Lonchura striata: one gene and its partner. The protein of the gene in region 2 binds, or shares a complex with, the protein of the main gene of each other region. Links are inferred from orthologs where the notes say so. Each region holds a gene or a part of one and is shown on either strand. Other genes may lie near its edges. The genes, in order: RGS9BP and RGS9.

Region 1 (15,900 bases), on a different chromosome or scaffold from region 2:
CCAGACAAAATGGTCCCTCTGCATTCAAAGCATCCAGTAACACCAAGAGCTTCTATGAAAGACTACTTAGCCAGTGCTCCCATACCAGCACAGCTATGCAGTTTGCTAACACAGTGAGGAAGAAAATGTTTGCTCATTGTCACCTTCACAACACCAACCAAGTTGAGTAATTAAAGACTTTGAACCTAGAAAAAGTCCAGCTTAACATGGACTCAACATGAGCCAGCCATCTGCATTTGAAGCCCCAAAATCAACCATGTCCTGGGCTTATCTGCGTGGGCAGCAGGTCAAGGGAGGGGGATCTGTCCCTCTGCCCCACTCAGGTGAGACCCCTCAGCAGAGCTGCCTCCAGGCCTGGGGTCTGAGCACAAGGACATGGAGCTGCTGCAGCAAGTCCAGAGGAGGGGCACAAAGATGCTCCAAGGGCTGGAGGCCCTCTGCTCTAGAGACAGGCTGAGAAAGGTGGGGGGTTCAGCCTGGAGGAGAAAAGGCTCCAGGGTGACCTTATTACACACTCAAGTACCTAAACAGGCTGCAGAGACACTTCAGACAAGGACCTCAAGTGACAGGACAAGGGAAAGAGATTCCCACTAAAAAAAGATGGATTTGTACTAAACATACAGAAGAAATTCTTCCCTGGGAGGGTGCTGAGGCCCTGGCACAGAAGCTGTGGCTGCCCCATCCCTGGAAGTGTCCAAGGCTAGGCTGGACAGCTCTGGCACAAAGTGTCCTTGCCCACAGCCAGGGGTGGAACGAAATGTGCTTCAAAGCACCTTCCAACCCAGGCTAACCAATTCTATAATCCCTGATCTGTCCTACCACAACATCTGGATGATCACCAGTAATTCCACCAGATGAGAACTATAAAGATCTCTTGGCAGGTAGCTGCAATCCAAGTCCAAGCTGTGGGCTCCTTCTTCAGCCAGTGCAGAGGGAAGAGAAGAGGTAGCACAAGCCCTGTGGCAGGTCTGCTGCAGGAGCACAGGTATCTCTGCTGATCCACGCAACAGCGGGGCTGAGACACACCTCCACGGGCAGGACTAGTTAGCTGCAGAAAACCCTGCCTGAACACCTGGCTAGGCCACAATTCCAAGTAAGTCATAATGACAGCAGCTTGCAGTCCAAACATGATTCAGTGACAAATTAGTATATATAACTAAAAACAATTTAGTGTAAGTCAAGCACCAAGCAGGGCTGTAAGAACATATACATGTAACCTGCAAAATAATTTGCCACAGCAAGACTTGAGAGTCCTACATGTTTTGTTTTGTTTTTTTTTTATGGCTTTGGATGTTCCTGTCCTCATCACAGCAGATAAACTGACTGGAGCAGAGACTGAAGTAAGAAAGGAAAAGGAGCCCTGTAAGCAGAATCCAATCCATGGAAGGCAGTGATGTTTATAACCAAGAAACTGCATGAAGCAGGCAATGATTTTTTTTTTCCCCACAGGTGGATCAAGCTTTCAGTCAAGGGCATTTTTTCCCACATCTAAGAAGTAGGCCTTAACTGAAGAAAACAGGCTCAGGTTACAGGTCAGGAACACTTTCCAAAAGGAACAGGAAGCACATGGTTTAGATTGCTTGGCACAGCTATCAAATCTCTCATGTTGTAAATCTCCAAGAACGTGTCAGACAAACCTCCACTAGAAGTGACAGTGGACATAGCAAAGCTGGGAGGGTGGATGACATGGTCTTTTGAGACACTTTCCAGATCAAGATTTCATTAATGCAGTTGTCCCACTGAGGCAGTTTCATCTGCCTTGAGTTTGGTGAATTCATGTATCTGTCCAAGCAGCAGAGGATCTGACTGCTGAGATCTTCCCCAAGACAGCGATGGAGAAGCTGTTAACACACCACACACTGTCAGGGTGAAAAAGCACATTGACACAAGGAGGCAACCAAGCATCAGACTGTAGTGCTAAAACTGCAGAGCACAAATGTCTCCAACAGCTTTATTGCCAGTCTTTCAGCTTAATGAATCTTCAAGTCCAAAAACTTCTTTCCATAACAGGAGGGGAAGATAACACATATCATAAATCCTCCTCATAAAAAAAAAAAAACAAAAAAAAAAAAAAACAAAAAAAAAAAAACCACAACCAACTGAAATTTAAAGTAACACTTCATTCCCTGGCATAAAAGGTATAAAAAATTTATCTGAGGAGGAGGGAGGAGAAGCTCCCACAGAAAGCTTGCTGTCTGTCTGACAGACCTCTTAAAATACTATCTGCACCTGAAAAAACAGTATGAGCAATTGGAGTATTTTAAGAATCATTACTGATGGACCATCATAGGGAGCACTTGAAAGTATAATCTTCAGTGTCCAGTTCATGAGTTACACACCACAAGTAACTATGTGCAGCCACACATTCTTAGCTGCAGCTACTGATTCTTTCACTGCAAAACTGATAGGGCTGAATCACAGTGGGAACGCCAGCAAGGAGTGAAAATAAACTGCATTCAGACATTGAATCCTGGTATTTCAGTTACTGTAATGCACCTAAGGTGCCACAGAGGTGCTCCACCCCAGGAAGGAAGGTAAATTTCTAGTTCACACGGGTGTTTGTCACCCTCCCTGAGCACAGCAGATGGGAGCTCTGCATGGCTCCCCAAATGCATGTTCCTGCACAGCAGGAAACAACCCCCACTGGCCACACTGGTACTGTTTTGAGAATCACAACTCTCAATTTCCTTCCCTTTCCCTCTCCCTTACCCCTGCAGCTGTTCAGTGTCTCGTTAGGCATTAGGTATCACATCTGATTAAAAGGAAGACATGAGAAACAACAGGTGGAATACTTATTACCTAAAACAGTTTAGCTACTGCATTCACTTAGCTCTCCATCACTTTCCCATAGCATTCTCCAGAGCACTAGAAGTGTGGATGTAGAAGCAATTTAAGTTATCAAAAAAAAAAACAAACCAAAGGAATTTAGTCTACAGATTCTAGAGAAGACATTAAAGCTTCCCCAAAGCTCAGGCATTTTTGAGATTAAGTCAATTTCTTTCCACCCCAGAAGTTAAATGCATCTGAAAATATTGGCTAATACATTGCTATAATTCTAGGGACACATTAGAATTCTCCATTAAGAGTCTGTTGGCAGAACACAACATCCAGCTTCAACCTAATTTAACTTGGGGGTGACACAGACTTGTTCTTCTAGCTGCACCTTGGACAGCTTTAGCTTGTAAAGCTTTAGCTTTACAGTGAAAACAGAAAATGCACAAAGCCTTATATACATTACCACAACTGATTAATGCCTAACAGAATGCTCATTAAAAACTATCATCAGCTATATTCACTATGAAGTTTACCAAATTCTATCATGCTTAGCAGTAAAGCAATTCTCAAGCACTAATGTTATGTAAAAGGTTTAAACATAATCACTTCAGTGTATGGCTTCATGCCTGTAAACACAAAAATAGCTCAAATTGCTGGAAGAACAGAAGCTAGCTGGATCAGACAATCTAATAAGCATTATGTTACAGTTTAAAAAAAAACAAAAAACTATATTCATAATCTTACAACAGACTAATCCTGTCTATATCAAAAGCAGAGTGATAATTCTAACAATATAACTATGGTACAAAGGACAGCTCAAGTGAAAAACATGGAACCTAAGCATGTCACTGTTTTCTGTAAGACACTGGAAACAAGGCCTAATTACAATTGGTAGTGAAAACAGTGAATAGGAATAAATCCTGACAGTTCATTTTCTCATTGATGGCATTTTCCTTTAGAGATGGACAAATGAGGAACCTTTTCCACAGCTTGCAGGTTTCAGTTCCTTTTAGGAAATACTTTGAAATTTGGACAAACAGCCATGAAAGTGCATGATGACATTGCATTTGCATTGTTACTTAGCAGTTACCTCCTGTCCACATTCAACTTGTACAACTACTTACTCAAACCTTAGCCTCATCATCTTCTGAACATCCTGCTACATCTCTACTAAAGACTAATCAAAACATTCTGCAGAGAAAACATCTTTCAGAACATCATGAGAGATGGTGTATACAAACACTACATAGTCAATGCTGAGCAGCATAACATTCTGTGTTTTCACCATGGCATTTTAATAATAATTTAGCAGAACAAAGTAAAAACAGCTACCAAAGTCAGTAAAAATTATTAGCCAAGTTCAGTAACCTCAGTTGTCTCCAGGATGGCAAGTTAGAATGTTACACTGGGATACTAACAGCAATTACCTCAGTGTGCTCCCCACACAAATCCAGCTTCAAGGGAGCAGAATGCCAAGTTCCCCAAATCCTTCAGCACCAGATCCATTAGCGTGACAAGAAGCATAAATTCACTCAATTTTATTTTACCAATATTGTCAAGTTTCATGGGATAATATCAGCTTCACTTTAGCTCCCAATAGCTACAACAGGAACACTAAGGCTTAGTAACCTGATATTTGCTGAAGTGCTCAAAATAATAAGTGAGGAACACCTCATTACTCAACTAAAGGATTTTTATCTCAGAGTACCAGATAAATACACATACAAACTTTATCAGAAATGTATCATTCTAGCAAACTGCACAGCTCCACACACAAAAAAAAAAAGTAAAAGGAAGCAATTCTAAGTTAAGGGGCTTTTTTTAATAGGTGTGCTTTCTGCACACACCTTAAGAGCACCACTTGTTAGGAGGAACAGCCAAAGGTAAGCATATCTTAGAGCTCTTTACAAGCAAACAGGAATCTAACAGTGGAATTTAAACAGACTCAGTCCAAAATCTCAAGTTACCACTCCAGTTCTTGTTTTACAGCACTATTACTCATTGGTTACTCTGCTTCTGGGCAAAAGTTACAATCTGAACTTTAGCCCTACATCAGAACTCACTTCAAAGTAAAAACAGAAGATTATTTCTTTTTCTGAGCATTTAAAAACTCTAAAGGATGAGTGTTGAGCATCCTATGAAAAACACCTGACATATTCCAGTACACCTCACTCACCATGAGGGAATAAATAAGTACATCTATTACTACCCCTTCTAGATTCAGATTCACCTTGTACTGACTTCTGTGAAATGGAAGTATGCAAGAGTAGCACCTTGAATTATCAGATTATAGAGTGGTGAGTGGTAAATTCACATCAGTCAGCTCAAGGCTTACAAGCAACCAGTAAAAAACTAAGCTTTACCATCCCAGAACATCAGCCTGACAGCAATAGAACAGAGTCTGGGGTCATGATCACTCCAGGAAGATACTAATTTCTCTCAGCATCTCCCTTCCAGGCACACATTTCTTCCAATGAAGGGTTAAGGGCTGACACAAAATCTCACGGCTTGGGTTTTGCCTCTACCCAACACCTCCCAAGCCTTTTCCAAGCCTGGCAGCTCTGGCCCTGCTACCATTGCTCCATATCCTTGGACAGGCATCCCCCAGAGCCTGCAGCAGTAGTGAGCACACAGGGCTGTACCAGATCTTTGTGCAGCTTCTTATGAGCCCCACCTCCAACTCCAGAGCTCAGCTCACTCAGGAGAAATGGTGAGAAGGTTCACCTTTTATATTTTAGCAGTGCATTTACACTATTGTTTGATGTGAGCACATCCTTACATGTCCTAGACTTGGGGGCTTGAGTCTCCCCCATCACTTGTTCCTTTCCTCCAGAGGAAGCACATTTCCATACATGTGGATCCTTCAACAGCCAAGCTTCCCACCTCTACCCAGTTACTTCAACATATTCAAACACATCTTGCTTGTCATCAGCCAAGCATCAGGAACAAACTGCATTCTCTTTTCACAACCGGGTAGACACAAGATTTCCAATTCTCACAGGTTTAGAAATCCACCAGAATGGCTTCAAAGAAGTTTCACTCCTTGGCTTGCCACTACTGAAGCTGCATTACACTCTCTGATGGGCAGCCCTGAGTTACTCCAAGCAAGCCCCCAGAAAGTGTAAGTGCTGTTCAGTGAACCATCGACAGTTACAAGGAACATTTAGAGGGAGACCATTAACAGCAAACACAAAGTTCCCACAACAGCTTCTCAACAGCATCAAACAAGGATGCTTCCTTCAAATACCAGGGAGCTGTATTTAAGGTCACCTCCCCCTCAGGCTCTCAGAGGTTTCTGCACTTTGGTACTTCACACCCCTTCTTTGGAGGGGAGCAGGGGGTTAAAATTCTTACGGAGTTGAAATACACAGAGGTTTCCTGAAGCCAAATCTTTTCATTCATTTAGGCAGCAGCGCAAGGGTAAGAAGGCTGGAAAACAATTCAGCAGGTAAGCTCTAAGGCAAAATAAATTATTTTAACTACTACTGGTGTTACAATTACCACCCAATGCAACATGTAACAGCCAAAACTAATTAAGAGCTTTCTGGAAGTAAACATCATGATACAGAAATATCAGTCTAATATTCCCCTACAATATAAATTTAGATTCTTCCTATGGATTAAATGCTCTCACCACTACATACAAGCAAAAACCAAATCACAGAAGTCAAAGAATTCACAATTTATCAGTGATCAGGGAGAGGGAAGGAGTTGATGTCACATTTCAGTTTCACTGTATTTCATCCTTACTTCTTCATCTCTTAGTGGCTTCAAACTTTGCCAAGCCATAGCAGTGTACAGACCAAACTTAGTACATGAGCTTACTCTAAAAGCAAGTCCCTCAGACAAGGCTTACCAATTATTAAAGCAAAACAAAACTGCATTTGCCTATATGCTACTTTAAAGTATTAAAATGAGGCTATAACATTTAATTAGTGATGTTCAAGATACATCATAGAATACTTTGCAAACACTGTTAAGAGTACTGCACAGGAAGAATACAATCGTTAACATCTACTGCAAGAAAGTCTTGCCACAGAACCAGGAAATATATTTTTTCTACTACTCTTTATGCTGCTTCCTAAGTCAGTTCTAAGGATTTTTACCTCCATCCTAATAGTTTTCCCAGGACAGTATTTTGGCTAGACAGCATCTTGTTTGAAAGCAGTATCAAGATATGAATTTTCACAACATCGTACCTGACTGACAAACAACTGAATTTTAAGAGTTCCCATAATCTAAGCAAGTTGTATAACTGCATGCAGCTGAACTTAAATTAGAAGTAATCTAAATAACAGGCTCTTCCCATACGACACACCTAAAGATGTATTTAGGCATTACCTGATACAGATTATGATTGCTGCTACCTTCAGGTTTAAATAGTCACACTTCTGAATCGATCCTCCCTACCTCTCCTTCCCAGACACATTTGCAGAAGTGGTTTCTAGATTCTCGCATAACTTCAGTACTCTGTGGCAAAATTTAAAAATAGCTAAAACAGACACACAAATATGCATAATTTAGTCAGCAATAAGCTTAACACTTATGTCACATAGTACTCCAGCTTCAAACCCAGAGCTAATCCTTTTTCCACCTGACAATGATTAGGCAATTACAAGACTTCACTTACAATCAGATCAAAATCATCCTGTGTTTCTTTATTCCTACAAAGAAACAGGCATGACTGATTTGCTTCTTCTAGGCTACCAACATGCAAATTAACAGAGCTACTCATCTTAGCTGGCAGTAATTTGATAACCTACACAAAGTTAAGAGACCATTTCTTCCACAGGTAGCAAGCAGCCTGCAGCAGAAGCTGCACAGGTTTTGGAACTAGGGCCAAAAAGCAAGATAAAACATAAACAAAAAAAACCCGGTCAGTGGAGTCCAAGCTACCAAAATCTAGAAAGAGGAACATAGGCTAGACAAGACTCTTCAAGCTGGGCTCAGCAGCAGAAAGCCAGTCTGCCTGGACTCTGTTCCTCTTAGTAAATTATCTTGCTCATAACACACACTGCCCTGCAAAGGCAGTGATAAAAGATAAGAGAATGGGTCACGCTCCTCTTGTGGGACTCCTGTGGCTTCACAGCTTTTTCAGGCTACTGTAGCATCACAAAAACCACTCAGCTCCCCACAAACGCTGGGCCATGAGTGGTAGTGTATGTTGTGACAAGCAAGCTCTCCAGAAGCCCACTTCAGCAGAAACACCAGGTGCTAGAGGCAGCAGAGCTCAGGTCACCGAGCGGCACTCGCATCACCTCCATCCCGCTGGCCGCACACACGAGCACGGCCTGGTGCCCGTCGGCGCTCACGTGCTGTACCCAGCACCGTGCCGAGGGCAGCCGCTGGAGCACGGCTTCTGACAGCGTGTTTCCTGCCCTCCTGATGTGCCACGGCCTGACTGAGCCAAGTGCGGGTGCCCCGGCCCGCACGCCGGCCCTTCCTCCGGGTGACAGCAGCAGCGAGCTCCCTCCCCAGCCGGGTGCCGGCGCGTCTGAACACACGGGACAGCCGGGCCCGGGCAAGCCCGACCCGCCACGCATCGTGGCGTTCACTGGGGCGAGGAGCGGCCCGGCCGCGGTCCGCACGGCGCGACCCCGCCGAAGGCCGAGCGGGCACGGCCCCGCCGCCGCCCAGGCCGCGCCGAGCGGCCCCGGGGCACGGCACGGCGGGCCGGGAGCGCTCCCTGCTCCCGCCTCGGCGGGACGGTCCCGGCGGGAGCCGCAGGCTGCCCGGGGCGGGAGCGCCACTCACACCGACACCATCGCCCCCCTGCTCCCCGGCCGCACAGCCGCTGCCGCCCGCCGCTCCGCGCCCCAGCCAAGCCCTACCGGGGTCCAGGGCGGGCCCGGCGCGGCCGCACGAAGCCAATGGCCGGGCAGAGACGGGAGGGAGCGGCGAAGAGCCGGGAGCACCGCGGGATCGCTGCCTGCGGAGGCGGAGCCTGCGAGGGCTTATAGGGCCGGGCCGGGCGCTCCCCCCATGTGACCGCGCGGGCGCCCAGCTGGGGCGAGTCAAGTGGCGGCGGCGGGGACCGCCGGCTGCCCGCCTGCCGCTCCCCAGAGCTTTAGCCTCGGCTTTTTTGATTTCTTTTTTTTTCCTCCTCCATCCTCGGCGCTTGGCACTTTTCAAACAGCAGCGCCCCGCTGAGCGCGGCGCGGACCGAGCCGCCCCGGTGGCGCTGCAGGCGGCGGTGGTGCCGGGAGCGATGCTGCCTGCCCGCCCGGGCTCGCCGCCGCCCGCCCGGGCTCCCGGAGCCGCCTGAGCGGTGCTGGATGCGGGCGCGACCCGGAGGCAGCGCTTGCCATGTGTGCTGGTAGCGCCCGGCTGTGGCAGCGCCCGCGGCCCGGCTCCGGGTAGGTCGGGGCGGCACCGGGCAGGGCGGCTCCGGGCACGGCCCCCGCCGCCACCATGGTGAAGGAGGAGTGCAAGGCGCTGCTGGACGCGCTCAACAAGGTGACCGCCTGCTACCGGCACATGGTGCTGACCATCGGCGGCACCTCGGACTCCCAGAACCTGCGGGAGGAGCTCAAGAAAACCCGGCAGAAAGCTCAGGAGCTGGCGGTGGCCAACAGGAACAAGCTCACCACGGTCCTGAAGGACAAAACCGTGAGTAAGGAAGATAAAGCCGAGTTCGAGAGGCTATGGGTGATTTTCTCCACGTGCCTAGAGATCCTGGAGATCGATATGAGGAGGGCCCTGGAGCTGGGCCACGAGTTCCCGCTGAACGTCCCCAAAAAACACCTGATCCAGACGGGCATGAGCGGGGGAACCTCCGGCGTGGCCGCCCGCGCCATGAGCGTCCAGAACATGAAGTACGAGGCTGAGCACAACATAGACGTGGTGGATTTGAAAGACCTCGAGAACGAGATCAACCAGGTAGGAGAGATGATGTACGAGATGGAGATGAAGGTCAATGTCCCCCAGTGGACAGTAGAGGCTAAGCAAGACCCAGGGGCTGAACTGAAATCCACCATCAGTGTGGGTGCTTCCTCTATTGGCATGATCTCTGTGGAGGAAAATAAATCCTTCTGCGATATCAGCAAGGTTTTAGCTGGGATTATTTTCACTGCTGTGCTCATCATCGCTATTGTCCTGGCGGTGTGTGTGGTAAAACTGTCTTAGGGTGGTGCAAGCTCTGACACGAGCGACCCCTCTCAAGCCTGTCTCTGGAGTGTTTCATGCCTCACCTTCACTTCCAAAGTGTGTCACTTGGATGAGCTGAGAATTTTAAACGAGCACTTGAAAGAACAAAGCAGAACTTTTGCCTCTGAATATTCTAAAATGCACTATTTGTTTCTTCATGCTTTTTGAAGAAAAGAGATGCACAGAATAGAATGTCTTCGTTTACTGGACTTGTAACAGTTAAGAGAAGTATCAGGGTATTATCACTACTGGCTGTAACAGGGATTTGCCTGCTATTAATAGGTCACTATTCTCAGAAGCCTGTGGTTTTTGTTCTTCACTAGCTCTGGTGTTTGCTGCTGGTCACTGTTTACAGTATTGGAGGGTAACATAAATGTGATGGCTAACATGGGTGTTTTGTCTGACCAAATGAATAGAATACTTCTTTTTTTCCATCAAATACAAAATATATTTCTTGAGCAGAGGAAAGGGGTAAGGATGAAAACCCCAATTAAAGAATGTAACCAGCCTCTATTTTAAATAAGTTATGGTTGGGGAGGGGGCAGAAAATGGAACAACGTTTGATACCAAGTACTGTTTGTTAATTTAAACTGGATTGTACAGAACCCAGTTGCATGAATTGGCACAGTGTATGTAAATGACTAATCGCTTTCCAAATCCAAAGAGCAAAAAGGAAAAGTTGCATATTTAGAAAAATACTAGGAAGCCTCATGGTTTTCATTCACGTTTACCACGATGTTATCTTTCCCTGCCTCTGAAGCAGCAATTTGTACTCCGTGATAAACGATGAAAACAGCAGCAATCAATCTACCCACAGCAGATGCAGTAACATGGGAAAATAGATTTTAGCAAAGAGAAATGATGTTAAGTTAAAGCAGACTTTCCCAATGGGATCCCCTCTCCTGTTGACAGGCAGGGACTGATGCTTGTATATGTACAGCCACATTTCTGCAAGCTCCCAAATGGCAGAAATTCAGACAAAGCTAAAAATGTGTCTCAGTTTCATATCTCAGTCATGTCTGATTAATCATCTGGGAAACAGGAAGCCTTTAGGATTGGTCCCATTTGATAACGCTACAAATCTAGAAGGGAAATGCAACAGCATAAAACTTTCAAGTGCTTCCCTGTGGAATTGTCAACATTTAAATATAAAACTGTGGGAACAGACACTTACTTAGCAGAGAAGCTTTACAATGTTTTGTAAAAAGTATTTATGTGTTATAGTATTTATTATTTACTTCTGGAAATACCTTTTAGTGCTGTGAACACACACTGTCCTTTCAGGAATGCTTGGTACATGTGCTACAGTGCCATAGGTGTATGGGGCACTCCACAGCCAAATATAAAGACCCCAAAATGCTGGGAGTTTAAGAAATAATTTTTCTTCATTGATTATTACGGGAACATTATCCAAAGTAATAATCAGACATTTTTTGTGGACAGTCTTCATGCTTGTTAAATAAAATTGACAACATGCATAAACACCTAATATTTTTTAGTATTTTTGAGTTAAGAACTAAACATACTTCAAAAAACTGCAGCAAACAGTTTATTCTTTAAAACTTAACTGGATTTATTGGGAGGGGAAATGTATTTGAATATGGTCACTTGTAGGTGAGGAAAAAAAAATAGTAAGCAGAGGCCTGAATTCAAAGCTATAGATTATCCTTACATTGAAGGATAATGTGAGCTCTGCACATTGGTCCAGTCTAACTCCATTCTCTCAGGAATTCAGAGTGTTTCAAGACAACTCCACATTCCTTTCTGTTGTATTTCACTCATTCCATAGAGTATGTTTTTCATGCAGTTAATCTGTGTCTGTAGAGATCCCTGACAGCTGTCTAACAAAGCCTGGTCTGTATTTATCGGTGCTACAGTTCCAGCCTGCCTAGACAAGGTGTAATTGCTGAGTGTTCATTTAAATTCGATGATCCGCTTCACAATCACAATAAGTAAACATATTTAAGGAAAATACAGTAAAAGCTGCAGAAGACTGTACCTATTTGGATTGCCACCTGTTGTCATTAAGGACCTGTGAATGTTTTCACTTTTTGCATGCTCAGTTCACAGGAGGGTAGAGAAGCCATTGGGCTTTATTCTGTCCTTCCTGAAAACTCCATATACCTTGTGAAATCAGACCATTTAACCACATGTTCTCAAACCCCCAAGTCATGAATGCAAGTCTGTTTTCTGGTGGATACGTAAATGGTAACAATGACCACATTCATTATCTTTTATCTTGGTATCTTCCACATACCTAACCATAGATAAATAGTTTATCCATGCTTAGTGTAGAAGAATTTTTAAGAATAGGTCATCTTTGAAAGCAAGCCTCAGTGGGTTGGTAAATTGTAACTTTTCAGTCCAATACAGTTTTGGGTTTTTATTTGGATTTTTTAATAAATTCAAAGAATTCATATAAATAGCTTCTAAGTATGTAAGTCTTGCTTTATTATGAATATGCACACAATTACTATTTAAAGGATTTGCCTTGGGAAAAGAATTTTCAAATCTTAAGACAAAGCTGGCTGCAAATTCATTCATCATTAGTATGTTCCTAAAAATCTGTATCACCTAATATTTAGGCTATCTAAAATTAATAGATTAAGCAGAATTCTAACAGAGGATTGGCACTGTCTACATGGATAAAGTGCTGCCATTCGTCTCCTACACGTGTTTATTCCATGTGACAGAGTTTGGCACAACACTGCACAAAACCAAAACTAAATGAAACCACCATTGCCCAAAAGTACAGAGGCTTCCTTTAAATTAAGAAATAGAGATACACATTTGTAGTCTTCATTTTTTCCCCCTACTGGAATGCAACTGGAAGGAGACTGGAAGTGCTGCTTTGTAAGTGAAAAATGGGAATTCATACTTCAAAATACTCTGTATTGAAACAGCATGATGAAAAAGCACATACTCTCATGTTGATTGGTGAGAATGTAATTATAGTACAAAAGAAGATGGTCATTGCTTAATTAATATCAGTGTTGATCTACTTCAGCTCTTTTGTCTTTAGTCACAGAATACACATATTAAATTTGCTGTATACTAAAATCTTACTCCTGACTTGAATTACACTGGTTTTGCCTGTGCATGGGTTGTATTTTCTACACTTTGAATAATGCAAACCTGTTACTGTCACTATTTATTTAACTTAAAATAAAGTACTTCCTTATAACTTACTGGTTTGCTTGCAGCAGTAATTTAAACCAAACAAAATCTGCCAGAGCAAGTCCAGAGGAGGCCACAAAGTTGATCAGAGGGATAAAGCACCTCTGCTGCGAGGAAAGGCTGGGAGAATTGGGATTGTTCAGCCTGGAAAAGACAAACTTTGGGGTGACCTAGTTGTGCCCTTCCAGTGCCTGAAGGGAGCCTGCCAGAAAGATGAAGAGAGCCTGTTCACAAGGGATGGAGCCACAAAGGGAAATGGCTTCACACTGACACAGCTGGTTCTGATGAGATACTGGAAGAAATTGTTCCCTGTTAGGATGGTGAGGCCCTGGCACAAGTTGCCCAGAGCAGCTGTGGCTGCCCCATCCCTGGAAATGTTCCAAGGCTAGGTTGGACAGGGCTTGGTACAATCTGGTCTGGTGGAAGGTGTCCCTGCCCATGGCAGGGATTGAAACCAGATGATCTTTAAGGTCTCTTCCAACTCGAACCATTCTATGACTCTTTGAAAAGCTAGAGTATTAATATGGCTTATCTGTAGTAGGCTCTTCTAAGCTAAAGTTCCTGTTTCAAACACAGTAATAAAAGTAATGTGCTAAGCTCTCTTATTTTGTTAGCATTGTTAAACACAGCCCTCTCAAACTCCCAAAATTGAATAGTGATGTAGCATACACTGCCAGGGAAGCCACAGTCTGAAAAGCCAGGAAATATCTGCCTTGGGAAACAGCTACAAACAGGTGATTCTGCCTTCAGCACTGGTGGCAAGTACAGAACCATTGGTTTGGACAACCTGAAAACCAGACTAGACTGGACTAACAATTGGATTCTCCTTGTGTTAGGATCCAAACTCTGCCTCTTTCAGCCAGCAAAGCTGGCATTTACTTTAGTAAAAGATTTACACAATCTAAGGAGTGTGAAACTTAGTCCTGTGGTATTGGTAGCAACAATGATCAACAGTTGTATCAAACCACCAGAACTGAGTCTGTTAAACACAGCAATATGTAATTTCATTCCAGGATTTCCAGCCTATCACCATAAAAACCCATTACACATTTATAGTTTAGGAACACAGGATCGTAATTAATGTGATTCTTCTGGTGTTGCAAACAATGTAACATGAAACTTTAGCACTATAAATATAAAATAAAATTAGTTTCAAAATTCTTCATGTAAGTATGAAAATATTTTTACAGTAATGCAATTATTTAAAACTGGACCAAATAACTGATGTAATTAGCTTTCAGATTAAAAATTAAACATGTGCTTATTGTTCATAGAGAGGATTGGTTACAGGCTTGTTTTTCCTTCTCTGGAAGGTTTGTGTTGTTTGTTTGCTTTCCACAAATACCTTCTATTTAAGTGCTAATGGAATTCCTAGTCAACATATTTACCCTTCACAGATTTTCATTATGTAAAAAGTCATTCAGTAAGACCAGTGGATTACAGATCTCTAAGTGCTTTCTCTCAATACGATTATGTAAGTCTTTTAATGCAGGAAGAGATCTGGACAAAATAGTTCACACGTGAGCAGCATTTGCTACAGTAAGTGTACAATAAAAGTGGGATTAGAAAATAATGTCTTTCATATAAAATTATCCACTTGTTTCAAAAAAAGGAAAGGAGATGGATGTATGTAGAAAATACCAAAGTTTGCTTTTTGTTATATGCAACAGCATCCCAATGCTAAACAACAGCTTCTCTATAAAAGAAGAGAATATCTTACACCCAATGGGACAGAGGATATAAAATATTCCTGAGGGGAACTGACTCTATTCTCTTATTACCTCTTACAGAGTAACAATAAAAATAGTTTGATTTGCTGCATGTTGTTATCCATTTTACAGAAGACAATCCTTGTCTCCCTCGGTTGCACACTACAAGTGACTTTCTCCTGGAAGAAGGCAGTCCCACGTGGCTGGATCCCATCACCCATCCTCACAGCTGGCTGCTGTGGTACTGGGTGCAGCTGGGATGTAGCTTTAGCAGCTGCCACTGCAGAACCTGTGCAAAGGTGAAAAGTCACAGGGCACTGAACCAGCACCAGGGCTCTGGTAGATCCTCTCAGCCAGGCAAGCACGAGTGTTCCATTGCTGGAAGCAATGTGACTGCAAACACAAATCCACAACCCCTCTGAAACTGCCACCCACACAGGCCACTTTCCAAATGCAATGATGTTCATTGCTCACTTCCAGTCATTTGTGAGACTATTTACTGTGATTTACCAGAGTGACAGAAACTGACTTCTCAGCCCTCCACAGGTGGGTTTTTGTTTTGTTCTTTCCTTGAATTGTATGTTTTATTTACACTGTATTGCATGACATTATTTATCATCTACTTAAATCTCCACCAAATTAAACAAATCCTCTGAAAGCTAGGTGTAATTCAGCTGCACAGAAATGGATTGAACAGCTGTGGTATAAATGTGGTCTGTTATCTTGATCATTTCCACTGTGTGTGAAATTGTCACTGGAGTCACTTGACCAGTCAAGTATGTCTCTCACATACAAATGTTGAAATAACACACACAGTTGAACTCACAGATGTGCCACAGCACTGAAAAAACACACAGCGAAAAAAAAATTACTTTAAAAATCATGGGACTTTTGAAATAATAATAAACCTTGTATCTTACAGTCATCTACAATTGTCTTGGGAAAAAAAAAATTAAATGCAATTCCTCTGTGTGATCCAGAAAAATTTATACAAAAATAGCATAAACTTTGGGGAAAAAAAAAAACCACAAGAAAGGGGAAATAAAAAAAAAAAGACAAAAGAAAATACTTAACTATTTATACCATATAAAAT
Region 2 (15,703 bases):
TTTTATGTTCTGGGGGGCAAATTTCATGAACCTCCTTCCATTTAAAGAGGGCAAAAAACGCACTTGTTCCCTGATCAGTTACTGGCTTTTCCTCCAAACCTCCCCTAGGACTGCAGACTGAGGTGTTGACCTTTCTTGACATTGCAGTGACGACTTAACTTTCTAATAGAGGCTCAGAGCTCTTATCCTACTGCCTGCTTCCTGAAATAGATGAAATTAAAGGATTATCTCATCACTCATTTCTAGACAGCTCCCTCTGTAAGCACTTTCCCCCAAAGGTGCACATTTAACATCGAGGTTTATTTGTGAGCCATTTTACTGACTTTCACTGAATTTAACTAGTTAGCTTCCTGCACAGGCAGAGCCAGACTCTCCCAGTGGATCTGTGTCCCCTGCTCCAATATCTTCTCCACAAGCTCATCAAAATCAATCAATCTCTTTTCCAACACCCAAAAGCCAAATTGTGCAGCGCTAAAAATATCAATTTAGAGAGGGATGAGCAGCACATAGAGGGAGTGGAAGTCACTTGCCTCTCAGAGGTGACTGGACTAGAATTTATGACTTGTGCAAGAGGGAACTTAGAACAATTCTAGTTAAGGAAGCAGAGTAAAGCAGACAGAACACAATGAGGGTGATGTCAAGACATTAGACACCCGTGGACTTTTAGGAAGTGGGATTTTACGTTGGGCAGACATCCAGAGAAGTTCTCCTTCCCCTGCACTTCATCTGTGTGAGATGTCATCCTCAGCACAGGGAGTCTCCTCTTTGTGCTGCCTTAGCTATTCCCTGACAGCTCTGGAGGCAAGGCTCTGGGAAAGCCTCCACCCAGCTCAGCTGCATAATAGCTGTGGGAGCCAGGATGTGGTTTGCACTGCAGTGCATGGAGGGTGCTGTGACAGCAGGCTTCAGATGTGTCCAAGTTCTCCTGACCCTTCCACTGACGGGCTCTTCCCATGGGCAAGTGACTTCAGTGCCTCTGCAGCCTCATTTTATACAAAAGATTTGGGGCAAACAACGCACTGGGCCAACCAGGCTTTGCAAACACAGTTGGGGAAATTCTCTCGACTTGCCTGGAGCAAACTCACTGGTTTCAGTGGGAGTTTTTGTTCTGAATTTCAGAGTGCTGAAGGAAGATGGAAGCAGGAGGAGGAAACTTGGGTATGGAGTATGTGTGAATATTTATAGCAGAGGATTCCTCACAAGAGCTTTTGTGGAGGTTTGGAGAACAGGGAAGCAGAGGCACTGATAGTGCCTGGTGAAAGGAGTAGCAGGCACAAGGAGGCTGTGATAAGAGCTGCCTGTAACACTGCACATGACACAGCACAGCTCCTGTCTGCTGCTCCTCCAGCCTCCTTGAGGGAGGCAAAGCTGTCATTTACAGGCACAGAAGTGGGTTGAATATTTTATTCTTTTCCCGCCTACTCAAGAAAAATTATTACTAGCAGTAAACATTAAAAGGAAGACTAATTGTTAATTGCTCATTTCTGAAGTACCATCTTTCAGTCTGCCTCCAGGCTGCTTGTTTTAATTGGATTTTAATATTTATCTTTATTTGTGATCCAGCCTCACTGGGAGCACGAGAGGTCTGGAGGCTGCAGCATGTCCTCACCTCTGTGCTAAGAGAAGGCAAGGTCACTTGAGTTAACCCCCATGAGACAGCTGAAAGTGCCTGGGGATCAACCTTCGTGTCTGGCTCGAAGAGTAGGAATGAAATGAGAGTGAGAATGAGATCAAGGGAGCAGGTACATCTCAAATGATGTACAGCTGGTATTTATTGGGAACAAAGCTCCAGCACGTAGCCAGGCACTGGCAGCCCTGGCCAGGGGCCCACACACAGATTTTCTCTGCTGAACTGGGCCCAGTCCCTTCCCCCAGGGAAGCTCTTACCTGTCACAGCGTGGGGGATGCTGGTGATCGTCACTGTCTGTGTTTGTGTCTTGATTCCTGTGTCTGGGTTCTGCATCTCCATCATGAGAGCTTCAATCTGCAAAGCAGGGGATGGGATGGGCTGGGTGTCAGGAGCGGGCAGCAGGGGAGCCAGCACTCCAGGGGTGGGCACTGGTGTGCCACAGCCATGCATGCAGTGGCCACAGCCCCCTCTGAACCTCCCCTGGCACCAGAGGTGCCACCTGCAGCCCATGGCAGCTCACACTGCCACTGGACACACACCCAGCCAGGACTGGCACAGGAGGGACAGGATGGAACCACTCCATGAGAGCTAAGGAAAAAGAAATAAATAAAATCTCTGCTACCCAGACCCCACTACACCGAGAAAGGTTCTTCTCTGGCTCACTGGGCACTTAGAACGAAAAGTGGGGAGGGAATAAAATCTGTGCTTCTGTTAGGAGGTGCAAAGGAGGTGTTGACCATTCCTGTGCAGGGCTGCACTCCCCCAGCCAGGTCTCAGCCCCTCCAGGGATGGGGAAGGCACATCTTCCTCTCTGGCAGCATCTCCCCCCTGGGATTCCTCAGGGATCCTCCTGACTTATTTTTAACAGAGAATGAGTCTCACACTTGGGGTCAGACAACTTTTATTTCTCATTCCCAATTATCCTTATTTCTTTTTAAAAGATAAATATTTTCCAAGGTATTTTCCTCCTCTTTGACTTCCTACCAGCACCATTCCCAAAACACAAAGCACTGCTTTCACTTGGGATCTGTGCTCAGATGGATGGAGCTGGGGCACACTCCTCTTGTCCTCAATTTTGATTATCTGAGTGCCATGGGAGCTTTGGGGAAGATGTTCTTCTTTTTGTCTTCTGCTTCCAGGGATATTAAATCAAAACTGGTCCAACAGGACCAATTTGGTCTCTCCACACATTTGGTTTGGGTGAGGCTGTAGCTTTTTAACTGAGAGTGGAGGATTTAACGAGTGTGAGTTGATGACACACACACATAATGGAGGGTATTGTCTTCCCAGGCACCACAGTGACTTTGGTCCCAAGTCTTGCCAAGTTCTGTGAGGATTTAAGCTGTAGTGACAGGATACACTGTGGGCTTGTCAGTAAAACTGGATTTTCAACTGCTTTTAAAAGCACTGACAAATTAATGCTAAATGGAGAAGCCTGGTAAAATTTAACATAAATATTTGTATAAATACTTATGAAATATTTTTAAAATATAAAAAACCAGACCAGAAGTGATGGAATATGAAGGCGTTTTTTAGGTCTTTTAACAGAATTCACAATTTCTGTCAGAATCTGAGGTATTGATGATTCTGAGATTGCAGAAAGTCTCTGTCTGTCAGCCCCCTGCCAAAGCAGAAGCCAGAATTGGTCTGTGCTGGTTTCCAGGTTGTTTATTCTGTTGATCTCTCACATGTTCTGCTGCCCTGCCCAGCTCTGTCCTGCAGGGCAGCGTGTGGGGCTCTGCCCTCAGTGGGATGTGACAAACATTAAATACCAGAAACTCCCTGGGCTGCATTGACAAGAACGTGCCAATATCTGTCACCTACGTTGGACAGTGTGTCCCCAGCCTGAACCAACAGAAAAATGCCAACACCACAGTGAGACATGGAGGGCATGAAGAAGGAGAAAAAGGACAAGGCACACCCAATTTCCTCCATCTTGTCCCCTTTAGACCCCTAATACAGAATCCTAAAATTTTACTTTTGCACCCGTGCCACACTTAATTATTACTTCTATCAAACCCTCAGAGCTGGTAATTCACCCTGTAAGATTGAAAACTCTTTTCCATGGACAGAGATCACAGCCAGTGTCTCTGGGGGCTCTGTCCAGGGGGTTCCTGACCCTGCCAGGGTCCCAGGGCAGCCAGAGGGAAGCTCTGGGTTCCCACAGTTTCAGCCTCAGAAGAAAGTTCAGCTGTGTGGGATGAGGTAGGATGGTCCAGCAGGCAGGGCACTCTTTAGGAAACTGGGGTTCTAAGCAAACCCAGGTACCTTGGGAAGTCACTCCCTGTGACTGCACAGTCCCTTCACAGAGAGCAGAGATCCTGGGGGCAAACACAGCCCTGCTCACCCCCCTGTCCCTGTGCAGTGACCACCTGGCAGATCCCAGCAGGATCTGTGCTCCAGGCAGGCAGCACAGCACATCCTGCTGCAGCACGCAGCTGCTGCTCTCCAGGTGGGCTCAAGAGACACATCTTCAACAGCTGAGAGCAGGGAACTGGCTCAGAACCCCCACAGCCCCCAGCACAGCCTGTTCCCATCTTTAACCAGCAACTCGTCAACTCTCATGGTGTTCACACTCTGCCACACTCCCTCTTGTCACTGGAGAAATGACAAATACATTAAAAAGCAAGGAGCTGCTCTTTGGGGTGCCTAGCTCTGCAAACCATCCACCTTGCTGATCAAACCTCAGCCTGTCTGTGCCTCTTCTCCCAAGGGAACAGTGGATTACAGGATCAGGAGCTGCTATCAGCACCAGGCTGCCAGAGGGAGGCCAGGAGGGCTGCTTCAGACACAGCAGGAACACTGCCTTGCTTTGCTGAGGGCTCTAGTCCATTTTGTCATGCTTTCAGCCAGGAAAGAGCTGTCTGGTTTGAATTTTGCAGAGCCAGAAGCCACTTCCTGACTGGTTGATGGGTGGAGATGCACACAGAGGTAAATATCAGGAGTGCTGAAGGAGCCAGGCTCCAGGGAGAGTTCATCTCATGCACACAGACACCACAAGGCAGGAGCCCCCTGGAGATTTCCCCTCAGATCAGCTGGAATCTCTGCCTGAACTCACCCTGAAAGCCACAGAGGAGACAACAGGAAAACTGTCTGTCCCCTCTCTGATTGTATGAAGTCACAGGGTTCAGCTCACTGAGTGCAAAGCACAACTCAAAATCCTATAAAAGGAGAAAAACCATCACTGGATTTTAGGAGCCTGTGGGAAGCCCCAGGGAGAGGAAAATGGCCACCAATTGATGGTGGCTGGCTCTGGAGAAGGAGGATTGATGTTTTCCTGTAGCATGGAGCAGTGGGGGCAGAAGTCTGCTGATGGATTGCTTGGCTGAGTTACCCTGGGTGCAGGTCCCATCCCTGTCATCCTGAGCTTTATCCTTTGGGCACCCACCAGCTCCCCAGGATCAGGGCATCCACAACGCAGAAAAAACAAACTCCACATGCTGAGACTCAGAAATGCACCAGCAAATCACTGCCAAGGTGAGAAGCTCAGCCCTTCTCAGCATCAACCCAGACAGAGGCATCTTTGCTTCAGACATAAGAAAGATCCATTTTCCCAGCAGGAATTTCCAGTTCCCAGCTGAGTGCACAGTCCTGGTGCTATAATTCAACATCTGCTGCTTTCTCCATCCTATTTGCCTGGCTTAGCCCCCCTCAGTGCCTGCTGCTGTTTGCAAGGATCAGCCCTACCTGCTCTGATTTCCAAGGTAACAATACAGTCCTTATCCTCACTCTGGCCTCTGAAGGCTCATTCAATTGTTTTCTAGGTCTACAACTACCAATCTGGCTTTGCACGTTGATGGATGATCAGAAAAAAAGAAGAAATGAAAAAAACCCATTGTTAACCAGCTAAAACTTCCTGCTTTTTCTTAATTAAAGCTGAGGGGAAGTGGCTTGTTCCCACTGAGTGATGCCTCAGCTAAAGGAAATAAATCTGTGAGTGGGGAGGGTAGGGCTATAGCTGGCTTTTCCCAGTCTGGAGGATTTTTTCCAAAGAAAGATGTGGCACTGGCATCTCCCAGCCTGGAACAAGGAAATGGAGGATGGGATGAGGCTGTGCTTGGCCTAAGGCTCAGCTTCAGCCTCAAAGATCAGGAGTCTGCTGAATTCCAGCAAAAAACACAATTCAGCTGCTCACACGCTTCTGGAAATGCCCAGGAAGATGAGGCCCGGCAGCTGCTGGAAAGTCTAAGCCTGGAGAAGCAAAGCCAGGCTGGAAAAGCCCCCAGCTATGCTGCAGACCCTGGAACAGCCCCTCCCTGGCTGCTGCACAGCTTGGGAGAAGCCACCAGGGACCAGAGTGAGGAGGAGGCAGAGGAAGAAGGCATCCATCAGCTCTACCCACAAGGTGTGAGTCACGGTGCAGCTCGTGCAGCACAGCAAGGAACAATTCCCAGCCCAGGAGCTCCTGGAGAGCACAGCCCAGCTCTGCCAGCTGATGCCCAGCACAGCCAGATCTGGCTGCTGGAGCAGGCACAGGCACCGAGAGCTTGAGTTCATTGAAACTCTGGCAGCATCCAGCCAAGATGCATTTCAGAGACTTGCTTGCTGGCCCAACAGACTTTTGGGTCATTCTTCTTCCAGCCAAGATGGTTTAGAAAGGGGAAAAAAACAGAATAAAACAACATAAGTGCTAGCATGATGAGCAGGTGCTGCAGGGCTCTGGGGGCCTCTGATCCCCTCCCAGTTCAGCCACAGAGACCAAGCTGCACGTCCAGCCCGAGCCACCCAGAGCAGCCTCACAGCAAGAACAGGGCACTGCCCCCCACCCCAACAGCAACCCCCTGGCCTTTCCCTGTGTCCCTTGGCAGGATTGCTGCTGTGGTCAGCAGCTTCCTGCTGCAGAGGCAGCACAGCTGGCAGCTGCCAGGGCCCACGGGGCCCACGGGCTGGCAGCATGGCAGGAATCCCTCCCTGCAGCTGCAGCAGCCCAGGCACAGCGCGTGTCAGCTGGCGGCAAAGCGTGAGCACAGGCTTAAGCAATTAACAAAGCTTCTTTCCAGGATTTTAGCTCCTCATGGGTTAAGCTAAGCCTGTAAGGTGCTCGCTGAGCATCCTCAGCTCCTGCCGTGGGCATCCAGTAAAGGAGCCTGGTGTTTCCAGGCAGCTCTGAGGATGTGGATGCCTGCACACTGCCATGGAACAGCTGAGGCTCCAAACACGGCTTCTCCAAGGTCTGGAAAAACAGAGCAGGAATGAAAGTGGAGATGAGAGTCAAGGGCTTTCACTGACCACCAGGAGCTTCCCTTCCTGCTGCTAAGAGGTCCCAGACTTGCAAAGCACAGGAGCTGAGCCCCCCTGGCTGCTCACAGTGTGAGTGGTGCACATTCTGTAAAGCCATTCGCTGTGTTTTGACTGATCTTCCCACCTGAGGAACTCGGAGCACTTTGCAGAGACTGCTGCACTCCCACGGAGCAGCTGAAGCACAGCTGCAGGCAGTTGTTTTCTCAAAGCACACAGCTTCTCCTCTGCACCCCCGCACACAACTCCACCGAGTATTACTCAGTACAGAATTTGGCCTGGAGTATTTCCCTTGGCAGGGCTCCCCAGCCAAATTTACCCTGCAAGACATAGCACCAAAGAAAATACCCTCTTTACTTCCTCTGGTGTAGTAAGTACTGCCAGGCTTGTATATCCCCAAATTCCCCTCCCTTTACCCCTGGAATCCTCCTTAGGTTGTGGGCATTGAGGAAAGCTAACTACAGTTCAAACAGCAACTTGCTTGTCACTGGAAATTCAGTTAATTCCATCCAACAGGATAAGCCACACTCAGGAGAGGTGGGTGGGAGAAAAGCTAGCTTAACACGCTGCTTTTTAAAATCTGCATATACCAGCTACACTACAACTGGCTATGTTTTGAATGAATGCTACAGAAAAAGCCCACCAAATGCTGCACAAAACTACGCATTACACCCAAAAGCGTGGGCATACATCATCCCACTCCTTCTACTGCTTCTGGCCACAAATATGCTCGTGTCTGAAAAACTGGAAGGAGGCAGAGAGCAGGCAGTTGGCTGCAATACACGCTCTGAATGTGGACATGAGCTGAAAGCACTGGGAACACACTGGAGCCACTGGAGCAGAGCTACACTGAGTGGCCTGGCATTGCAGATGGGCTTTTCCCTGGGAGCTGATGCGGATTTGAGGGACTTTGAAAAAAATAATGGAAGGTGTCAGGGCAACCATTCAGCTGAGATAAGCTACAAATAATAAATAACATTACAGTCCTATTTGCTCCATCACTCCAGCACAGCTGCTCCTCCAGCCTGCCCCCCGAACCAGCTGGGACCCACGGCGCTCTGCAACAGGTCATGGCTCCAAACTCCCGGCGAGGGGCTGTCACCCCTCGGACCCACACGCCCAGAGGTGCCCCGGGGAGCCGTGGCCGGGCAGGATGCTGTGAACACACATCACTCGGAGCACCGCCTGCGCTGCCCTGCGCATCGCATCGCCCCGCCCGGCCGCGGCCCCGGCGTGCCCATTAATGGTGCGGCTGTCCCCGCGCTGCGGAGCCCTCACCTTTTTCAGGAAGGCCATCCGCGGGCGGTAGCGCTGGCCCTGGTCGAGCCGTGTGACGGTCATGGTGGCGGTGCGGTGCGGTGCGGTGCGAGCAGAGCGGCCCCGCCGGGCGCACCTGGCTGCCCGCACCGACACCCGCCGGGGGCGGCGCCACCGCTGCGCGCCGCAGCCAATCAGCACCCGCCGCCCCGCGCTCATTTGCATGAAGGCGTGAGGCGGCCGCTTGGGGGCGCTCGTGGGAGAGCGCGGAGGGGCTGGGATGGAATGGCAATGGGATGGAATGGAATGGAATGGAATGGAATGGAATGGAATGGAATGGAATGGAATGGAATGGAATGGAACGGAATATGATGGGATGGGATGGGATGGGATGGGATGGGATGGGATGGGATGGGATGGGATGGGATGGAACAGAATATGATGGGATGGAATGGGATGGAATGGAATGGAATGGAATGGAATGGAATGAATGGAATGGAACGGAATATGATGGGATGGGATGGGATGGGATGGGATGGAATGGAACAGAATATGATGGAATGGAATGGAATGGAATGGAATGGAATGGAACGGAATGGAATGGAATGGAATGGAATGGAATGGAATGGAATGAATGGAATGGAACGGAATATGATGGGATGGGATGGAATGGAATGGAATGGAATGGAATGGAATGGAATGGAATGGAATGGGGTGGGACAGGACGGAATGGAATGGAATGGAATGGAATGGAATGGAATGGAATGGAATGGAGTGAAATGGAATGGGACAAAACAGAATGGGATGGGATGGAATGAAGGGCCAGGCTCTTGGCCTGGGTTTGGAGCAGGCACAGAAAGCGATGGAGGCTGACTGTCCATGAAGCACTGCCCGGGCAGCACTGCAGGGGTGATCTGTGGTCGCAGCATCCCGCTCAGCCACGGCTCCCCAGGGCGCGTAGGGCCCAAGGAATGACAGCCCCATCCCCCCAAGTTCCTGTTGCAGAGCCCTATAGACCCCAGCTGGCTCCAGGGGTCAGGCATGTGCTGAAGTGATGGAGAAAATAAAGGTATAAGATCATTCTGGAATTTATGAAGTCATGTAAAACAAGCTGAGGCCAAGGTGCTGTGGCTGAGTGCTGTGTGTGTATGAGGGCTGGGCAGTGTTTTGGGCACATGTCCCTTGAATGCCACCAGCCTTGGACAGCTCAGCTGTGAATGCAGGAGCCAGACAGGCAGTTTGAGGAGTTGGTGGCTTTTTCTCATGGGGAAATCGTGATGAAGAGTGACCAGAGGAAGACCATGTGGTTAGAGTTCTTCCTCACAGTGCAACTGCCTCATGCCATGGGGTGGCAGGGGGGGAACAGTACCTCACTGGCAGGACTGGAAACCAAGAGCTCCAGCAAGATTTTGCCTGGTTCCTCCAGAAACTGGCAGAGTTTCTTCTGCTGCCCCCAGCTCAGCTGCCAACAGCTGGACAGGAGGAGAGTCTGAGTCCTCACTCACACAGAATCTGATTGTGCCAGGGCTTGGATGATGCATTCCCAGGAATTCTTGCCAGCCAAAAGGCACAGCTCCTTGTGTGAGTACGTTCCTGCACACCCCAGAGAACAGCCACACGGGAGTGTGTGCTCACACCTGTGTGTGCCCAGAGTGCCACCTGTACACGTCCTGAGCAGGCACTCACACCTCTCTCTCCGTGGGCTGATCCCACCCAACACTGCTGGCATTCTCCCTGTGCACCCAGGGCACACAGGAGCAGATGATACAGGCACATTTATACCCCCACATTTATACCCCATCACACACCTCACATCCACATTGCCATGCCACATGGGGAGCACTCGCACTCCCCACACATGTGCAGCTGTTTCTCAGGGCAGTGCCTTCCCTAGCATGGTGTTTGTGACTGCTCTGGATTTAGGCTCTGTGGTTCTCACACTTGAGGGGAGCAGGCTGGCTCTGAGCTCGGAGCAGAGTTTTTCCATGAACAGCAATGCCCTGAAGGCACAGGCTGCTTTCCCAATTGCTTTGCTGCCCTTGTGGCAGTGTTTTATCTTTAGCTCTGTTCTTTCATAGCATGCAGATGAGCCAGTACTTTGGAAGGCCTTTCCCCTGTGTCTGCTCAACCATTCCCATGTGGAATTCCCCTGTAAGTCACAGCTGGATCAGACACTCTGCTCTACAAAGATGATGAGCAACTTCTGTCATTCCACACTGGTACCCAAGTTATCCTGCCTCATGCTTCAAGGCATCAGGTGATGGCCAAAAGGAGCAGGAGTGGAGCTCTTCATGTTTGCAGTGTCTCATAATTGAGGGTCTGAAGTGCTTTTTTGTTCTGCCAAACCAAACTCAGATCCTGGTGCCCCTCTGAAAGGCCAAGGGTGACAAACTCAGCAGCACAGATGGTCCTGGAGGCAAAAAGGAGGAGAAAGGGAGTTCAGAGGGGAGCTAGAAAGTAAGAGAAAGCACAGCAAAGGTATGCAGGCATTTTGATGATGCTAGTGAGCTAGAGTGCTTCCATCTCTTAGAGAGACAGATAGTGGCAGGAGTATCTGCAAGGAATTCTTTGGGAGATAACATCAGAGTAAGGAGCACATAAAAAGATGTGGCTCATTTTCTTGGTCTTTTAGGCAAAATAGGAAAACTTGTTACAGTCTACAATGCTTCCTCTGAACCATTTGCACTTTAAAACCAAACAACTTGGTCTGTTACACAAGTGATGGTAAAAGGACTCAGAAAAATTCCAGGTGTGGTGCTAACACTGGCCTAAGTAAAGGATCAACTACCAACAACTTCCTATGTCCCACATAATTAAAGGAATAAAACCATTTCACCTCAAAATGCTGACTTTAACAGTTTCACTGAAGAATATAGGTGTCTTAGTCATGAGAAACATTTGAAATGTGGGTCTTAAGTGAGTTCAAAAATAAAATGGTCTTGCAGGAGATCCAGGAAAAATAGCTCTGAGAAGCTCACGCTGAGTTGTGAGCTCTTCAGCCTCACTGAGCTCCAAAGAGTCTGATAATTTTAAATCCTTCCGATCCCCCAAACACCCCCTCACAGGTCAGGTGTGGCGTTTTTTCTATTTCTAGTCTTCTCTGACAAGCTATGATGAAGCTTATGGATATTCCTGTATTTTAAAGCTAGTTTGTGTAATTTCCACAACATGTCCAAGGTAAATTCAGCTTTATTAACATCTGTGAGTGACCCACAGCACCAAACACAGATGAGTTGATATTTCACCTGTGCCCAGGTGAACCGTCCCAGCAGTTAATGCTCTTGGGCAGATCTGCCACATGAAGCACGAGGCATTTAAATCAGATTATAGAGGCTTGTCTAGGGCAGACACTCCTGGGCCTCTAATCACGAAACCCACACTTGTAGAAAGCAAAGAATTCTCCAGTCCTTGATGCAGCCTGGCTGGCATATTTGTTGGTCAAGAAAACAAGGGACTTGAACAACAACAAGAGTGGTGGAGAGCACTGGCAGCAGTCATAAAGGAGATTCCCTCCAGATTTCTGACTCCCTACGTTCACCCTGGCCTTTCTGCCCCCCAGATAATGCAGAAATACATTATCTGGGGAGTGCCCTTAACCTCCTGTTTTGTATAGTAAATGCAGTGGTATTTATGTAGCTGCAAGTTTCCATGGGTGTTCTACCCCACACAGGGTAAAAGCTGCTATAGTGGAAATACCCTTGTGGTCATCACATCCCATCACATCACATCATCACATCACATCACATCACATCAATCACATCACATCAAATCACAGGGCAATGGTGAGTGTCCATGGGCTCTCCAGAGCCCACAGATCCCTGCCAGCCTCTCACACAGAGTGTGTCCAGGCTGGGAAAAGTTCTGCTGAAAGCCGGATTTTATCCCTCTGGTCTCCTTGTGCAGCCCCACAAGCTGTGATTGCTCTCAACAGACTGGCTCTCAATTCTCCAGAGTTTCTCTTGTGGAAAGCACTGCCAAGGGAATCCCCCCCTGACTTTAAAAGGTCACATTTCCTACGTGGTTGCCCCTTTTTCACACATCAGAAAGTTGAATCATCCAACACAAAAGGCATGTGGTGAGTAAGCTACCTTTCTATGTAAGGAAGCTGGGGACGCCCTGAGGGGAAGGAAGGGGTAACAGTAAGTGAAACAAGTGGCAGGTGGGGGCTTGGTTTTAGCACTTGGTTCCTTCCAGGAAGATTTCAAAGCAGTTTGCTCAAAAAAAAAAAAAAAAAAAAAAAAAAAAAAAAAAAAAAAAAAAATTGTGCAAACTGTGGCATAGAGAGAGGAGTGACTTGAGCTCAGCTCTGCCAGCAAGGCAATGGTTAAAGGAATATCCCCAGAGTCCATTGTCCTGCCTGGTGGGGCACAAGCACTCAAAATGAGAAGTTTCCTTAGCAGCCTCATGGGAAGAGCTGCTGGGGCAAACGGGCAGCATTTGTTTCCCGTCGTTCCTGGGCTTTCCAGGAAAGCTAAGGAAAGAAGTGGCAAAGAGGAAGGAAAAAAGCCAAGCAGAGCAAGACCTTATGCACCCTGCCTTAGAGATGGAGCCTGGCTGCTGGGGTGGGAGGATGCAGCTGGCTTCACAGTGACCTGGGTGGTGCGGAGCCCTCTCCAGGGAACACGGTCAGGCAGGGCAGGAACAGCCCCTCCCTGGCTGGGAGCCAGGCTGCTGTGCCAGCGCACGGAGTGGGGGTTTGGAGAGCTCCCCACGTGAAGGGGAGAGCAACGGGGAGGTCAAGGACTCCCCAGCACTCAAGTGGCTCGATTGGAGAAACTCAGGAGTCCTCTGCAGCTAGGGAGGTAAGATGAGAGTTGAGACAAATATCTTAAAACTTCATTTTAAAACTGAGACCAGAGCTCAGGAATGACTGGCTTCCACATCTGTACCAAGAGTAACAGGACGTGCTCCTTGTATTAATTTTGTACCACATCCTGTTCTCCTACAAGAAATGCCTTTTTTTTTTTTTTTTTTTTTTTTTTTCTGGTAAGCCCCTTTGAAATAATTCCCATACAGTTTTATCTCCATGTGGGACCAACCTAAGGAGAGAACACTGATGCGCTTTTCAGATTTTGAAGGTCCTTCCAGCTGAGGCCAAGTAACATTTCCTTGTTCTAAACTCACCTCACAGTTTCACATTTATCTTTCCCTTTTTCTAAGTTATTATTAATGTTGGGGGGAAAAGCAGAAAAAGATTAAGAGGAAATTTCAGCAGATATCAAAGACTAGGAGATGTAAGGAGAGACAAATGTTTAATGCAATCTTTGCACTACTGATGGTAGTTAAAGTTAATTTATTAAAACAAATTACTAAGCTGTGCTTAGGGCTGTGTTGAATGAAGTGTGGGATTTTCAGTCCGTGAGATTTTCAGTCCTTGCAGGTCCCTCAGCCTAAGATTTGTTCTACTCCTCACATGAAGGATTGCCATTGAAAATAAATCTTTGCTCCTTTTAACTCGGGATCAGCTAGAGTCCCACTCTCTTTTGCTCACTGTGCCTCGGGAGAGGTTGGACCCAGGCTGTTTGTTCAGCTCGGTGCTGCAACCCTGCAGCACTGGGAAGCTCTTCTCAGCCAGGCAGTGAGGAAGGACATGCCAATTTTTCAAATGTTTTAACAAAACAGCTCTCTTTCTGCAGCAAAAAGAAAACCTGCTTAGCTGGCAAGCACCATCCTGCCCCCCTGACTGAGGGCTGACCTCCCTGGGCCGCTTGCCCAGCAGCTTCCCTGCATCCACGGGGTCGGGTGAGCCTGGGGCTCCTTTCCATGGAACCTCAGAATCCCAGATTTGTTAAAGCTGGAAGGGACCTCCTAAGATCATCCAGCCCAACCCCACTGCCTAAGCAGAGTCATCCAGGAACACGTCCAGGTGTGTTTGGAACATCTCCTGAGAGGGAGGAGACTCCACAATCTCTCTGGGCAGCTGTTGCAAGCCTCTGCCTCCTCCGTGGAAAGTAGTTCTTCCTCATGTTGAGGTGGAACTTCTTGTGTTTTAGTTTACAGCCATTGCTCCTCATCCTGTCACAGGGTACCACTGAAGAGTCTGGGACCATCCTCTTGGCATTCCCCTTGGAGATATTTATATGTATTGATGAGATGTCCTCTCAGTCTTCTCTCCTAAACATACCCATGAGGAGCCAGGGACAAGGACAGGGACAGGGACAGGAGTGGCTGTGTCAGTTCCTGTGTCCAGTTCTGGGCCCCTCAGTTCAGGAAGAAGATTGAAGGGCTGGAGCGTGTCTGGAGAAGGGAATGGAGCTGGGAAGGGGCTGGAGAACCAAGAGCTGCTGAGGGAACTCAGGGGGCTCAGCCTGGAGAACAGAAGGTTCAGGGGGAACCTTCTCACTCTGTAACTCCCAACAGGAGGGTGCAGCCAGGTGAGGGTCAGGCTCTGCTCCAGGGAACAAGGGAACAACCTCAAGCTGCTCCAGGGGAGGATGGGGTTAGATATTATGGAAAAATTCTTCACAGAAAGGGTAATTAGACATTGGAATGGACTGCCCAGAGATGTGGTGGAGACACCCTGGAGGTGCTGAAAGACTGGATATGGCAATTGGTGCCATAGTCCAGTTGACAGAGGTGATTTGTCACAGATTGGGCTGGATGATCTCAGTGATCTTTTCTAACCTAATTGATTCTGTGTTTCTATGATTTAGTCTCTTCTGCCTGCCTGCAGTGAGAGGATGGGTGCACATGGCCTCAAGGTGGGAGATTCATTAGATTAGGAAAAAAAAAGTTATGGTTAGGGTGGTCTGGCAATTGAAAGGGCTCCCAGGAAAGTGGTAGAGTCACCATCCCTGAAAGTGCTTGAGAAACATCCAGACCTGGTGCTGAGTGATGTGTTTTTATGGATGCTGGGTGGGTGGTTGGACTGGATCTTAAAGGTCTCTTCCAAACCTTTATGACTCCATGAAGCCCACCTTAAATTTATTTTCCATTACAAAGCACATTAAAATTATGATCATGTGCATCTATAAACCTTTAAGTCCATTACACAGCAGCACCCTGTGCCTGAATGTTCTTTCACTGTGTTTCCTCGCGAGCAGCCTGGCACCTGCCAGGAGGCACAGCCTGGATCTCCTCCAGGAACGGCGCTGAAAAATCGCGATTTCAAGCTCCACTTCAAGGCGACTCGGGGGCTTTCTTGAGGAGAAGGCGGTGTTTTACAGGTGAATTGCCAGTCTGGCTACGAGGATCTCAGGGCGCTGGGAAGGGCAGTGAGGCAGCCGGCGCAGGAGCAGGCCCGCTCCTGAGGGTCCCTCCCGCCATTTCCTGTGAGGGGCCGGAGGGGGCGGGGCCGGCGCGGGGGGCGGGCCCGCGCTCGTCACGCGCCGGGCGGGAGCGTGCAGGCGGGCGCGGCGCGGCGCGCAGGCGCGGTGCGGGGCGCGCGCGGCGCGGGCGGCGGGCGGGCGCTCCCCTGGCTGGCAGCGCTCGCTAAGATGGCGGATTTCCTGCCGTCCCGCTCCGCGCTGGCCGGCTGCTTCCCCGGCTGCCTCCTCACCAGCGGCGAGGCCGAGCAGCAGCGCAAGTCCAAGGAGATCGACAAGTGCCTCAACCGCGAGAAGACCTACGTGAAGCGCC

Evidence for each region.
Region 1: RGS9 (region 2) and RGS9BP share a complex: the UniProt entries of both Homo sapiens proteins name them as parts of the RGS9-1-Gbeta5 complex. The link is inferred for Lonchura striata from reciprocal best matches to the Homo sapiens genes RGS9 and RGS9BP.

Annotation. Positions count from the first base shown.
Region 1 is NC_134615.1:7,701,458-7,717,357, reverse strand, and holds RGS9BP (regulator of G-protein signaling 9-binding protein), read left to right. Parts: upstream 1-9,070; 5' UTR 9,071-9,186; coding exon 9,187-9,900; 3' UTR 9,901-13,105; downstream 13,106-15,900. UniProt on the Homo sapiens protein: Regulator of G protein-coupled receptor (GPCR) signaling in phototransduction. Participates in the recovery phase of visual transduction via its interaction with RGS9-1 isoform.
Region 2 is NC_134621.1:9,420,254-9,435,956, forward strand, and holds the start of RGS9 (regulator of G-protein signaling 9), read right to left. Parts: upstream 8,291-15,703; 5' UTR 8,210-8,290; coding exon 8,147-8,209; intron 1,985-8,146; coding exon 1,888-1,984; intron 1-1,887. Other genes in the region: GNA13 (guanine nucleotide-binding protein subunit alpha-13), read left to right, coding at 15,562-15,703. UniProt on the Homo sapiens protein: Inhibits signal transduction by increasing the GTPase activity of G protein alpha subunits thereby driving them into their inactive GDP-bound form. Binds to GNAT1. Involved in phototransduction; key element in the recovery phase of visual transduction.